Xenopus tropicalis: one gene and its partners. The protein of the gene in region 1 interacts with the protein of each later gene in a biochemical or structural test. Links are inferred from orthologs where the notes say so. Each region holds a gene or a part of one and is shown in the gene's direction. Other genes may lie near its edges.

Region 1 (4,149 bases):
AGAGAATAACCTGTGAAATTTACCAGGACCGAAGGTCACCCCCCCCCCAGGAGTCACCATGTAAACCAGTTGCTGTATATAGCTCAGAATGGAAATCAGGGGTGATTGTACAACCATAGGCCAAAAAAATCTGCCAGAGTGCAGATTTGTTTTGTCATCACCAAACTATTAGTAACCTACAATGTTTATTTTCTGTTATGTCCGTTTTAATGGAAAGTTAATAAATACATATTTAAAAAAAAAAAAAAAAAAAAAACCTCACTATAGTTTGGTGTTTTACCAGGACATTTACAGAACAGTTGAGGAAGATCTCACGTGATGCCGGGATGCCTATCCAGGGACAGCCGTGTTTCTGCAAATATGCCCAGGGAGCAGATAGCGTTGAGCCAATGTTCAGGCATCTGAAGAATACTTATACAGGGCTACAACTAGTCGTTGTAATACTTCCTGGGAAAACCCCTGTCTATGGTGAGTACAAACTGAAATTCAACCACATTTGTCATACGTTGGATCATAGGGACTTTATCTTCTGCAGCTTCAAATATAACTACCCTTGGGCTGTTTTACCCTGTGTATATGCGGCTGTTTGCCTCCCTCCTACCAAAGCTTCATACTTAAAAAAAAGATTAATAGACATGCATGTCTGCTTCCAAAACATTAACAGCTTACTATTAAAATCAGCATTTGTCAACATCATTCCCAGTCAAAAATAAAGTCAACCCAAAAAATACAATTTGTTGAGTAATAAAAGAAATCCTAATTCTAAACAACTTTGCAATATACATTCATGACAAAATTGCAATGGTTTTTGACTTATTTGTATTTATAATTGCTATTAGAAGTAGTGTCCTTTTCTATTCCCTGCCCTGGGGGCTCTGGCATATGAAACAATGTAACACAAGGCAACAGCCTGACAGGCCTGACTCGCTGGAGGAGACTGATCTTTGCAACATTGTTTAAAAAGTAACAACCAGGAGTTCAGCAAATGCTGCTTTCAATAGCAATTACATTTACTAATAACTTGACATGTTCAATACATTCACAATGGAAAGTTGCTTGGAATTATGTTTTCTTTTATTAGGCAAAAAAAACCAAAAAACTTGGGGGGTTGACATGCCCTTTAATCTTTTGAAAACACAAATCAATGTGTATGGGTATGTATATGTTTAGGAAAATATTAATAATCTTAGGGTATTATCATCTGAAAGAGAACCTACATGCATAGTTTTTTTTTGTTTTACAGCGGAAGTGAAACGTGTGGGGGACACTGTTCTGGGAATGGCTACTCAGTGTGTTCAGATGAAAAATGTGCAGAGGACCACACCACAAACCTTGTCTAACCTGTGCTTAAAAATCAATGTAAAATTAGGAGGCGTCAATAACATCTTGTTGCCCCAGGGCAGGTAAGTTGTCAAATATAAATTTTGAATGGCTGTCATACTTTTATTTCACATTTTGTCTAATAGAAATATCAAGAATTGAGTGTATAATTATTAGTGTTGCTTTTTCACCCTCGTCATGTATTTTTTTTTTTCCCCCCTCAAGCTCCTCACTCCTCCTTCCATGGTATTATATCCCTACTGGAATCCTTCAAACACATGTAGTTGTACTAATTTGCCAGTATTTCCCTACTAATTTTTAATCACTGGGAGTGCAATTCCTAAAGGAAGATTTAATTCCTGCAATTCCTACACAGGTAGATTTAAGCTGCCAATTGGGGGGGTCCTTCAGACAGATTCATATTGCCAACAGACTGAGATCTGGCCAAAAAGTGCCCGATCAGGCATATTTGATCTTTCCGTCAGATTGGCAACCGTACCAGCTCATTGATTTGGCCCTTACTTCAACGGATCCTATTCCAGTTTACTCTATCGCCCACCATAGGTGGGCATATCAAGGGAATGATTCTCTTGTTTGGTGATCTCGTGAGCCTACCATTTTATTGTTTCTTTTTATTAGTTTTCTATTCAGGTCCTCTCCTGTTCATATACCAGTCTCTCATTCAAACCACTGTTGCTAGGGTTATTTGATCCCTAGCATATAATTAAAAAAGTCCAATGAAGTCTTTACATCATATTAAATGTTAACACAAAAGTATACAACCCCTTTAAGACCCCCAAGCCTCATTTGACGGAGTGCAATTAGGCCAGAAAAACCACCTTGACTGAGAAAGCACTTTATGTGTTGTAGCCCATTAGGCTGCTCTTGTCTGTGGCCTGAAATACAAATATTGTGTGAATTTATTCGAAGAGCCTCTTAATTTCTTTATTATCAATGCAATCTTTGCCTTTGAATACATTTTATTCACTGATTGTTGTCATACTGCTATTTGTTTTGTAACACACACATTTCTCCTGCAGACCTCCTGTGTTTCAACAGCCTGTCATATTTCTTGGAGCTGATGTTACCCACCCACCAGCAGGGGACGGCAAAAAGCCTTCAATTGCTGCGGTGAGCATAGAGAATATTTACATAGTTAGTGCGACTTATGATAGCCTTAAGAGTCGCACTGAGGATTACTTTACATGCATTCCCTATACCAGAATGTATTTTTTTTTAATGGACTTTATTCTTTTATTTTTAATTTAAGGTTGTAGGTAGTATGGATGCACACCCCAACCGATACTGTGCCACTGTGAGGGTACAGCAGCACAGGCAAGAAATCATCCAGGATTTGTCTGCCATGGTTCGAGAGCTGCTTATCCAGTTCTACAAGTCAACACGCTTCAAGCCCACAAGAATCATCTTTTACAGAGACGGTGTCTCGGAAGGACAGTTTCAACAGGTCTCTTTAGGTTACTTTATTAGAAATAATAATTTAATTTAAATGCAAGAATGTATCAAAGATACAAGAAAAATTAGCTAACTGAATACCTGATTTCCACAATCTACAGGTGCTCCATCATGAGCTTCTGGCCATTAGGGAAGCCTGTATTAAACTGGAGAAGGATTACCAGCCGGGAATTACATTTATTGTAGTGCAAAAAAGGCATCACACACGGCTATTCTGTACAGACCGAAATGAGCGAGTAAGTAGTAAACAGGTTGTATATAAGACTGATATGTTTTTACCAGATGACTTGATACCCTTAATGTGCTGTTAAATCTGTTAGCATCTCTGATCTGAAAACCTTTGGACCATTAGGGGACTTATTTCTGTTTACACAAGAAATATAATTGCATGTTTGTAGTGCCCCAAGGACAAAAGGAAATGGATAGCAGAATACAACCTTCATTAATAGAGGAATGTCGCCAACATGACACTATGCCCAAGATCAAAATGCTTCTTACCAATGCCATAAAGCTGTCCATACATGTGTATATATAGAAAAAATTAAGATTTTCAGTTTGTGTATGCTGGCCAGACAATATTGAGCAGTCTCTGTGGAGGTCTGTTTGTAGATCAGGCAGGAAAATTTAATCCATTAATGCAAGATATCAGCTGAGGTTTGTTGGGAGATAAGGTGGTGAAGAGAAAATTCAAAGGTGTACATACTGTGTACATACCAGTACTTCAGAATCAGACTTTATTTGCATGTATGGGAAGGGATACTTGCTTTAACAGAATTGTATTTCACAATTGATTTGTTTTTATTCCACATAGGTAGGGAAGAGTGGAAATATACCAGCCGGTACCACCGTAGACACAAAGATCACCCACCCATCAGAGTTTGATTTTTACCTGTGCAGTCACGCTGGTATTCAGGTAAGTCCTTTGTTGAATACAAAAGTTACTGGTCATTCTTTATGCTTTGATTTGATATAGAGAGACATATAAAAAATAATAGTAAATATAATGTACAGTTAGAATGCTGTAAAAAAACATTGATATCTCTCTAAAACGGGCCTTTCGCCCTCAGAGAAAAGCAAGAATAAATGGCAGAAATATTCCTGAGCTAGACGAGATGTGGAATGATGCTCTCAAGCTGTTTCCAGAGCTATTCTATCTCTGAGAGACTCCCTACCACAGGGTTCCCCAACCTTTCTTACTCGTGAGCCAAAGTCAAATGTGAAAAGACTCGGGGAGCAACACAAGCACCATGAAAGTTCATGGAGGTGCCAAATAAGGGCTGTGATAGGGTGCATAGAGGCCCCTAATAGCCAATCAGCTTATAGGGGCTTTATTTGGGAGTAAATCTTGTTTTTATT
Region 2 (4,149 bases), on another chromosome or scaffold:
TATTTCAGGTGTCGGGGTCACTCTTCCACCTTGCTGTATTAGAAAACAATTCCTGTATTTTTGTTTTACTTCAGTACTTTCTATATAGATTGGACAGTGATAATTGGTTTAATTATAAATTAACTCTAATATATACGTTAGGTAATTTTGTGATACTGACCCTTAAAAACCATGTTGCTTAGGGCAAACAAAGGGTGGTTACAGATGATTAGTAGACATGGTTGTTACTGCTCTGGTGGTGGAATATTTTTTAACTTTGCTTTGCACATTCTGCTGACTGTGTTCTGCTTTTCTCTCTCTCTTGCAATCATCCTGAATGCTTTTGTGCTTCGCCCCTTGGATCCTGCCTTCATCACATTCACCCTTCTCTACTGTTCTGGGCACTTGTGCTTTCTTTATATGACCACCATCAGGATGGTATTGTATCAGAAGAGCCGCAAAGCATGCAGTTTATTTCCAATCAGAACACGAAGCTTCCCCCTTTGAATAGTGCACTATCTTCTCAGTCCCTCAGCTCTTTCCCAGGGCTGGGAATGCCAAACGTCAATTCTGTGAGACAGGTGAGTCTTTCAAATCAGGCCACAACTTTAGGAATTGGTCCGTCAAAGTTATAGAACCACTGTATAAGTCAAGAGTTGTGTGTTCTTTAATCCAATGCAAAATGACTCATAGGAATTGCACAGTATTACTGTGCATAATATTTACTAACAGGACTGGTACAGGATCCTTTATCCAGAAAGCTCAGGACCTGGGGTTCTGGATAAGGGGTCACCATGGATCACCATATCTTAAATTTCCTAAAAACTAATTTAAACATTAAGTAAACCCAATAGGATTATTTTTCCACAGTAAGCATTCATTTTCTTTATTGGGATCAAGCACAATGTAGTGTTAATAATAATAATTAATAATAATAATAAAAATAATAATATTATTTTTAGGGTAACCATTTTTATAAATCTGAATTATTTGCATTGTAATGAGAGATGGCTTTTCTGTAATTCAGAGCTTTCTGGTTAACGGTTTTCTGAATAACTAATCACATACTTCTGTCTGACTTTTAATTGCTGCGGTGACATATATAAACCATACCTTTTTTTTCAGCTCTTCTTGTCAATTTGTTTATTAATCCTCAAAAAAAAAAATAATTACCTGTTGGCAGGAACAAATGAGATTACAGAATAGAGTGGCCTTTTACTTTGTGGCTGTTAGCTCTCGAGCCAGGTAGAGCTTCATGCTTGTCGGCTTCTCTTAGCACATATGGGACTTCTTTTCTTTGAACATGTTTGTTCTTATGTACAAGTGTCTCCGTAAAATGTGCTTGTGTGCTTAATTTGTATGTATTTTCCCCTCCCACAGAATGGCAATCCCAGTATGTTTGGTGTTGGCAATGCAGCACAAGCCAGGGGCGCACAGCAGCCTCCAGCACAATCTCTTAACTCATCTCAGCCTAACCTTCGTGCGCAAGTGCCTCCTCCCATTATACCCCCTCAGGTTTGTTGCTACTTTTGCATACGCTTGTCTTATAATGCATGTTACATAGGTACATTGTAATCACTTATGCATGGCCAAGCAGTGTATTGGCAGGGATTTGTATTGTCTGCCTTTTAATGGCATCCCTTAAATCTCATCTGTGGCCTCTAATGAAAATATAGCAGTTGACTTTATTAATTAGATTTGTATGGCTTCATCCCTATCTGTTTTGCTTTAATCTATGGAAAGGGTAGTGCTAACAGCAGGAATTGCTGGGTCTATGGAAATTGGGCAACAAGCGATGATGTATGGCTAATAAAAAAAAAAAAAAAAAAAAAAAAAAATATATATATATATATATATATATATATATATATATATATATATATATATATATATAAGGTGGAAATTGCTTTTAATACCTCCTTATAAAAGCATTGCAGAGCAGTGACCCCTAGTGGTAGATCAGTAGGATTTTGATGAATGTGGATTTGTGTAGTTTTCATATGGTCATAAGTCTAATTCCAGCTGACTGACAGGAGCATAATTCAGTGCTGACTTGCCCCTTTTGCCAAGTCAGGTTTTTTACTCTGCTGCTTCTGGATCTCTCGGGCGATAGGAGTGCAAGCATCAAAAGCACACACTTCGTGCTGCTCTTCTAGCAATTAGAATTTGTAGCTAGGGTCCAGGTCTGCCCAGCATGTTAATGTGACAAGTACCCTTGTATGGTTGAGCAGAGCTAATGAGGATCTTTGCTTGAATGACATAATCTATCTGCACCTTCACTGCATTGCAGTTTACTTGCTCTCCCTCCACTATGTAGGCTTGGTTCCTTCCTTCTCTTCTTTATAAAATGCATCACTAATTTTGTCAGCTTTACTGCCTTCCAGTGCCTTATCCTCTCAGAAGCTCCACTTTCTCTAGCATTATCCCTAGTTAAAATATATACACCACTTCAATTTAAATACTATAAGGATCCCTTATATGGAACATTGGAACTACAATACTGTTGTGGACTTTTCTGATACATTGAACCAGTGCCTGCCTCTCTTCTCTTCGCATGTGTGTGAGATGACTTTCCTGGATAGCAGTGTTTTCTTATACATCCATCTGCTGTTGTAATGTTTGGTTGTATTTGTTTAAGGTGTCTGCAATGGTCCTCTAAACTGATATAAGGATACTTTCCCCTTTATATGACATTATATGAGAGGGGCTTTGTACAAAAGAAATCACTTGTTACAGCAAAGCAAACAATTTTAGTAAAGTTTGGCCAAAAGAATTAGTTGTCAAGGAACAATATGGCACACCATACATAAAACCTATAAATGTAAATTCAGCACCTTCTGTATGTATGTTTTTGTTTTTACGCACTTGTTTCCATAGCTCATGTCCACTTTGACACAATTTTTATTTTCTTTATCAGGTTCCTCCTTCTTTACTGAAGTATCCGCCAGCCAATGGTGGTCTGAACCCCCTTTTTGGCCCCCAGCACGTAGCCATGTTGAACCAGCTTTCCCAATTAAACCAGCTTTCCCAGCTGCAAGTAAGTTGGACTAATCGGTCCCCATCCCCTTGTACAAAGACCGTTTCAGGAGCTGTGTGGTCTTCATTCACCCTTTCTCCATGTTTGTAACTGGCCACTTTTTCTTCCCGCAGAGGTTATTGAATCAGCAGCAGAAGATTCAGAACCAGAGGGGGGTGCCTTCAGGAGGTCGCCAACAACATGAGCAGGTATTTCAATGTTAAACGAATCTTAGTGTTTGTAATGTGACAGCTGCATTAGTGGGGTTTTTATGGTTTTGTCTTTTTCTAAATATTTTGTTTTTGATCTTTCAAGGCCCGGTCTCTTGGTACGCAGCAGCCGGCACGTCAGCTTGATCCCAACCTGCTGATGAAGCAGAGCATTTCTCAATCACAGCAGCAAATGCTTCACCAGCCTCCCATGAAATCCTTTCTGGAGAATGTGCTGCCCCACTCTGCCCCTGAGCTACCAAAAGTCCCTTCACCAATCAGTTCTTTTGGTGGCTTCCCTTCAGGTTAGTGATGGTTTTTATTTTATACATGGTTTTTGTGCAACTGCTTTATTATAACAACTGTTCCTTTAAACAGCATTAAATCAAGGAAATCTGTCTCCTTTTCAGGCTTGAACTCAAATTCGAATGTAAATATGGATCTCGGAGTTGTAAAGGAGCCACAGTCACGACTGAGGAAGTGGACAACAGTTGACAGCATGTCTTCTAATACTTCTCTGGATCAAAATTCCAGTAACCATGGTAAAATTTGAATGCATGCTAGTTTGTGTTTACCTTAAAGAGAGATTATCCTTATAAAGAAGTTTGTAACCCATGGAAATTCCATGGGTTCTCTAGTCCTGACTCATGAAACTGTGTAGCAGAAGTCAGTTCTATTGCAGGTTTGTTAATCAGTCATCCTTTGTCTCTAATTATGCAAACTCTGTAGCGGCATCCAGATGTTTTTCCAAAATCTGACACAGAGCAGATATTCCCTGCCTCGACCATTACAGTAATAATCTTGTGTGTTTGCAATTTCTTGCCCTAGGTGCTATTTCAAGTGGTTTCAGGCTTGAAGATTCTCCTTTTGGTTCTTATGACTTTATGAACAGCAGTAACTCTCCATCCAGCCCTCCAGGATCTATTGGGGATGGCTGGCCTAGTG
Region 3 (4,149 bases), on another chromosome or scaffold:
GGACAGTACCAGCACACCTATCTCAGGGGCGGTCACTAAAGAAACCAACGTGGCAGGTGATAACGATGGATGCCAGCTTTTCAGGTTGGGGAGCAACTTTCAAGACTCAAATTGCCCAGGGACTCTGGTCGGAATCGGAAAAGACACTTCTGATTAATATATTGGAAATCAGGGCAATTTTCAGAGCGGTCATTCACTGGGAGGAGCAGTTAACAGACCAAGACGTCTGAATCCAGTCAGACATTTGAGAAAGGCTGCAATTGTGGCCGAAACGTCAGTTCTCTGTTTCTACACTTAATAAACTACAATTTTGTTATAAGTCCTGAGCGATGCGATTCATATTTTTGTTTAATATATATATATATATATATATATATATATATATATATATATATATCATATATGAAAATAAGCATTACTTGGCAAGTTTTTAGTTGTTCCTATTTAGTTCACTGCTGTTCTTAATTGATGCCTTAAAGAACAAGCCATATTTAAAATGGGTTGATGGACCACTTTTATGCTTTTTAACTAGTTTACTTATAACTGTAAATTGGCTCTTTGTTCTTTACTAAGCATGCACACTTTTTATGTTTACTGTCCACATAGTATTTTTTCCATAAGCTTTATTATACTTTACAACTATTTCACCTGTAGTGAAATAGGAATACCTCAGCCATGTTTACAAATTGTATGCAGAGAAAGAGCAAGGAAGAAATAAACCAAACATAAAGTAGACTTTAAAACTTTTCACTTTTAAAAAGTGAACAGATGTTTGTGTTTGGCTGCGTCCTGTTGGGGCAGCTGTTTATGTAGGGCACACATTATTGATTGCAACATATTGCATAGACATTATGGTTCTGTTTTTTTTATATCTTTTCAATTTCTTTCAGATTCCTCACTTTCCTGTCTATACTCGTTCGGGAGAGGTGACCATATCAATTGAACTAAAGAAGTCTGGTTTTACATTAAACTTAGAACAACTTGAGCTCATTACTAGACTCCACCAGTACATTTTTTCACACATTCTTCGTCTTGAGAAACCTGCACTAGAATTTAAACCCACAGTAGCCGATTGTGCCTACTGTGTTCTACCTCTTAACGTTGGTAAGTAAATTTAAAGGCACAATCTTCTGCCGCTGCACAAACCTGCAAATTTATGGCAGGTCAGGACAGAGGAGACTTCTGTAAAGCTGGCCATACACGTGGCGATCTCACGATGTTTCGTACGACCGTCGGTCGCACGAAACATCGTCAGATCCGCCACACACCATTCAGGGCTGAATCGGCAGGTAAGGAGGTAGAAACAATAGGATTTCTACCTCCTTCTGCCGATTCAGCTCTGAAGGGAGAATTTTGGTCAGGCGCCTTCTATGGCGCCCGATCAAAATTTTCTAACTTGGCCGATCGGCGAGCCGACCGATTTCAGCAGCTTCCTGCGATATCGGTCGGCTCGCTGACATGCCATACACGCACCGATTATCGTACGAAACGAGGTTTCGTACGATAATTTCGGTGCGTGTATGGCCACCTTAAAGCATAGATGCTGCTTGGAGGGGTGGCTCGTTTAAGTTTGGGTTTTTTTGTTTTTTTTTAACATGTAAACAAAGTCCAGAAGAGAATTGTTTTCCATGTTTTTGATTACATTTTGGTATGTTGGGACAGTTAATTTAGATAACCTTTGAAATGTGCCTTTTTTTTTTTTTTTTTTTATAATCGATTATCAATTGCATGTTTCTGCACTGGGCACTTACAGATGATATTCATTCATATGACAGGAGGGGTAATTTTGTGCATTTTGTTCCCACCCAAAGAGCTATGAAATACTGAGAAAAAAATACACATTGCACACCATGTGCATTCAAATTTAAGGTTTAAACAAGCATTTAGATTTGAAGTGTTTTTAGATTATGTAATAATATTTTAGACTGTATGATAAAACTACTACAATGCCAACATTTTTCACAGAGCTGTACAACACATATTACAAACCTTTTAATTTGAAAAATTAAAAAAAAAAAAAAAAATTAATTCACAAGTCCTGGGTGAGAAATTTAATTTACCATTTATTGTAGGGTCACCTGTAATACCAGTGTACACAAGTGTGATATTGGTGTACCTGTCTGTAGCACTGTAAGTTGGGTTGTTAGTCATTTTACTATACAGTAAGGATTTGTTAATTTAATGCTTGAAAAACATTTTTATTTTTTTGTACTATACAATGTTTCTGAGCTTTGTAGCTTATTCTGTGAATCATGAGTTATTAAAGATTGAACTTTCATTTTTGTAGTAAATGATTCTGGCACTTTGGACATTGACTTCAAATTTGTAGAAGATATTGAGAAATCAGAAGCACGTACTGGTATACCTAATACACAGTATTCAGCTGAAAGTCCTTTTATTTTCAAATTAGAAGACTACCAGGATGCTGTTATCATTCCAAGGCAAGTAATGTTTTTTCCCTTTCTGCAGTGTTATCTTTTTCTAAAAATATTGCAACATTTTGAAGCTGATAAGTCTGATAAAATGTGGATCATAGTTTGTAATAATAGCAAAGCAACCTTTTATTTATTATTTTTAGAATAGCCAACCATGAATCCGATGTATTTCTTGTAATTCCTTTTTTTATTTCATTTTTAGATATCGAAATTTTGATCAGCCGCACAGATTTTATGTAGCTGATGTATACACTGATCTTACACCGCTCAGCAAGTTCCCTTCCCCTGAATATGAAACCTTTGCTGAATATTACAAAACAAAGTATAACCTCGATCTCACAAACCTCAATCAGCCACTTTTGGATGTGGACCACACATCATCAAGGTATGAAAAGAAAACATGCTGGTGTGCAAATACTTGTTATTTATATGGTAATATAATAGTTCTCTGTTACTATGGAACTGCAATGTCGTTGGTCATATGGCCAGGTCTTTGATGTTGGGATAAATTGATGGAGGATTGAAGCTCCTTTTCTTTAAAGACCTGTCATGTTTTGTTGCATTTGGGCCTACTGGGATGTCAAAATATGAGGGTACTGATAGAGAGAAATGTCCCTGAAAAGTTTTGTTGTGTGCACAAATGAATTATATATTTTTTTTGCATTTGTTCATACCATGTCTGTGTATAGGTCAGACCCCCTGCCCGCCATGCAGACTCAGTTATGTTGGGGGATGTATTTTGGAATTATGGATGTATTTTTTTATCTGAACCCAAAGTAACTCTTAACTGTATTTTAGCTTATAATTAGATTGTGCTATTGTGTATCCACAGCTCAAAAAAGTTATTGTTAGCTTAGAGTAGGCTAGCCATAATAAGTTTAGCTGTTGACATACTTGTGCTGTTTAGAAATGGAATTCTGTACATTCACCTTGGTTTGTTATTCTGTCTTCTGCCTACAGTAATTTTGGTTTTTTTCAGTAATTCATATATATTTTTTGTTTCTTTAAGACTTAATTTGCTGACTCCTCGCCATCTGAATCAGAAAGGTAAAGCTCTGCCATTAAGCAGTGCTGAAAAGAGAAAAGCCAAATGGGAGAGTTTACAAAACAAACAGGTAATGTGTTTAACTTTGAGACTATGATGGGATATCGTAGCCTTAATGATACTATTTACACATTTATCTGTGTTTTTCCTCACCAAAGATCCTGGTTCCAGAGCTTTGTGCTATACATCCAGTCCCAGCATCCTTATGGAGAAAAGCTGTTTGTTTGCCAAGCATACTTTATCGATTACATTGCCTCCTTACAGCAGAAGAGCTGAGAGCGCAAACAGCTATTGATGCTGGGGTAGGAGTCAAATCGCTTCCTGATGATTTCCGGTAAGGTTCCAGTATGTCGGTGGCAAAACACTAACACCAAAATTCCTGGTAAAACTAGTTAATTTTGCATTTGAAAGAAAATTAGATACAGGTATAAGACCTGTTATCCAGAATGCTCAGGACCAAGGGTATTCCGGATAAGGGGTCTTTCCATAATTTGGATCTCCATACCTTAAGTCTACTACAAAATCAATAAAACATTAATTAAACCCAATAGGATTGTTTTGCATCCAATAAGGATTATTTATATCTTAGTTGGGATCAATTACAAGGTACTGATTTATTACTACAGATAAAAAAGAAATCAGTTTAAAATTCTGAATTATTTGATTAAA

Evidence for each region.
Region 2: the proteins of ago2 (region 1) and tnrc6a form a complex in vitro, tested with the Homo sapiens proteins (2 studies listed by BioGRID). The link is inferred for Xenopus tropicalis from reciprocal best matches to the Homo sapiens genes AGO2 and TNRC6A.
Region 3: the proteins of ago2 (region 1) and dicer1 form a complex in vitro, tested with the Homo sapiens proteins (2 studies listed by BioGRID and IntAct). The link is inferred for Xenopus tropicalis from reciprocal best matches to the Homo sapiens genes AGO2 and DICER1.

What each region holds. Positions count from the first base shown.
Region 1 is NC_030682.2:146,787,848-146,791,996, forward strand, and holds part of ago2 (protein argonaute-2), read left to right. Parts: intron 1-283; coding exon 284-468; intron 469-1,243; coding exon 1,244-1,403; intron 1,404-2,360; coding exon 2,361-2,451; intron 2,452-2,590; coding exon 2,591-2,785; intron 2,786-2,894; coding exon 2,895-3,029; intron 3,030-3,604; coding exon 3,605-3,706; intron 3,707-4,149.
Region 2 is NC_030685.2:20,145,307-20,149,455, forward strand, and holds part of tnrc6a (trinucleotide repeat-containing gene 6A protein), read left to right. Parts: intron 1-413; coding exon 414-560; intron 561-1,359; coding exon 1,360-1,494; intron 1,495-2,896; coding exon 2,897-3,016; intron 3,017-3,129; coding exon 3,130-3,204; intron 3,205-3,310; coding exon 3,311-3,509; intron 3,510-3,614; coding exon 3,615-3,746; intron 3,747-4,032; coding exon 4,033-4,149.
Region 3 is NC_030684.2:88,588,353-88,592,501, reverse strand, and holds part of dicer1 (endoribonuclease Dicer), read left to right. Parts: intron 1-890; coding exon 891-1,104; intron 1,105-2,287; coding exon 2,288-2,450; intron 2,451-2,637; coding exon 2,638-2,820; intron 2,821-3,444; coding exon 3,445-3,550; intron 3,551-3,638; coding exon 3,639-3,814; intron 3,815-4,149. UniProt on the Homo sapiens protein: Double-stranded RNA (dsRNA) endoribonuclease playing a central role in short dsRNA-mediated post-transcriptional gene silencing.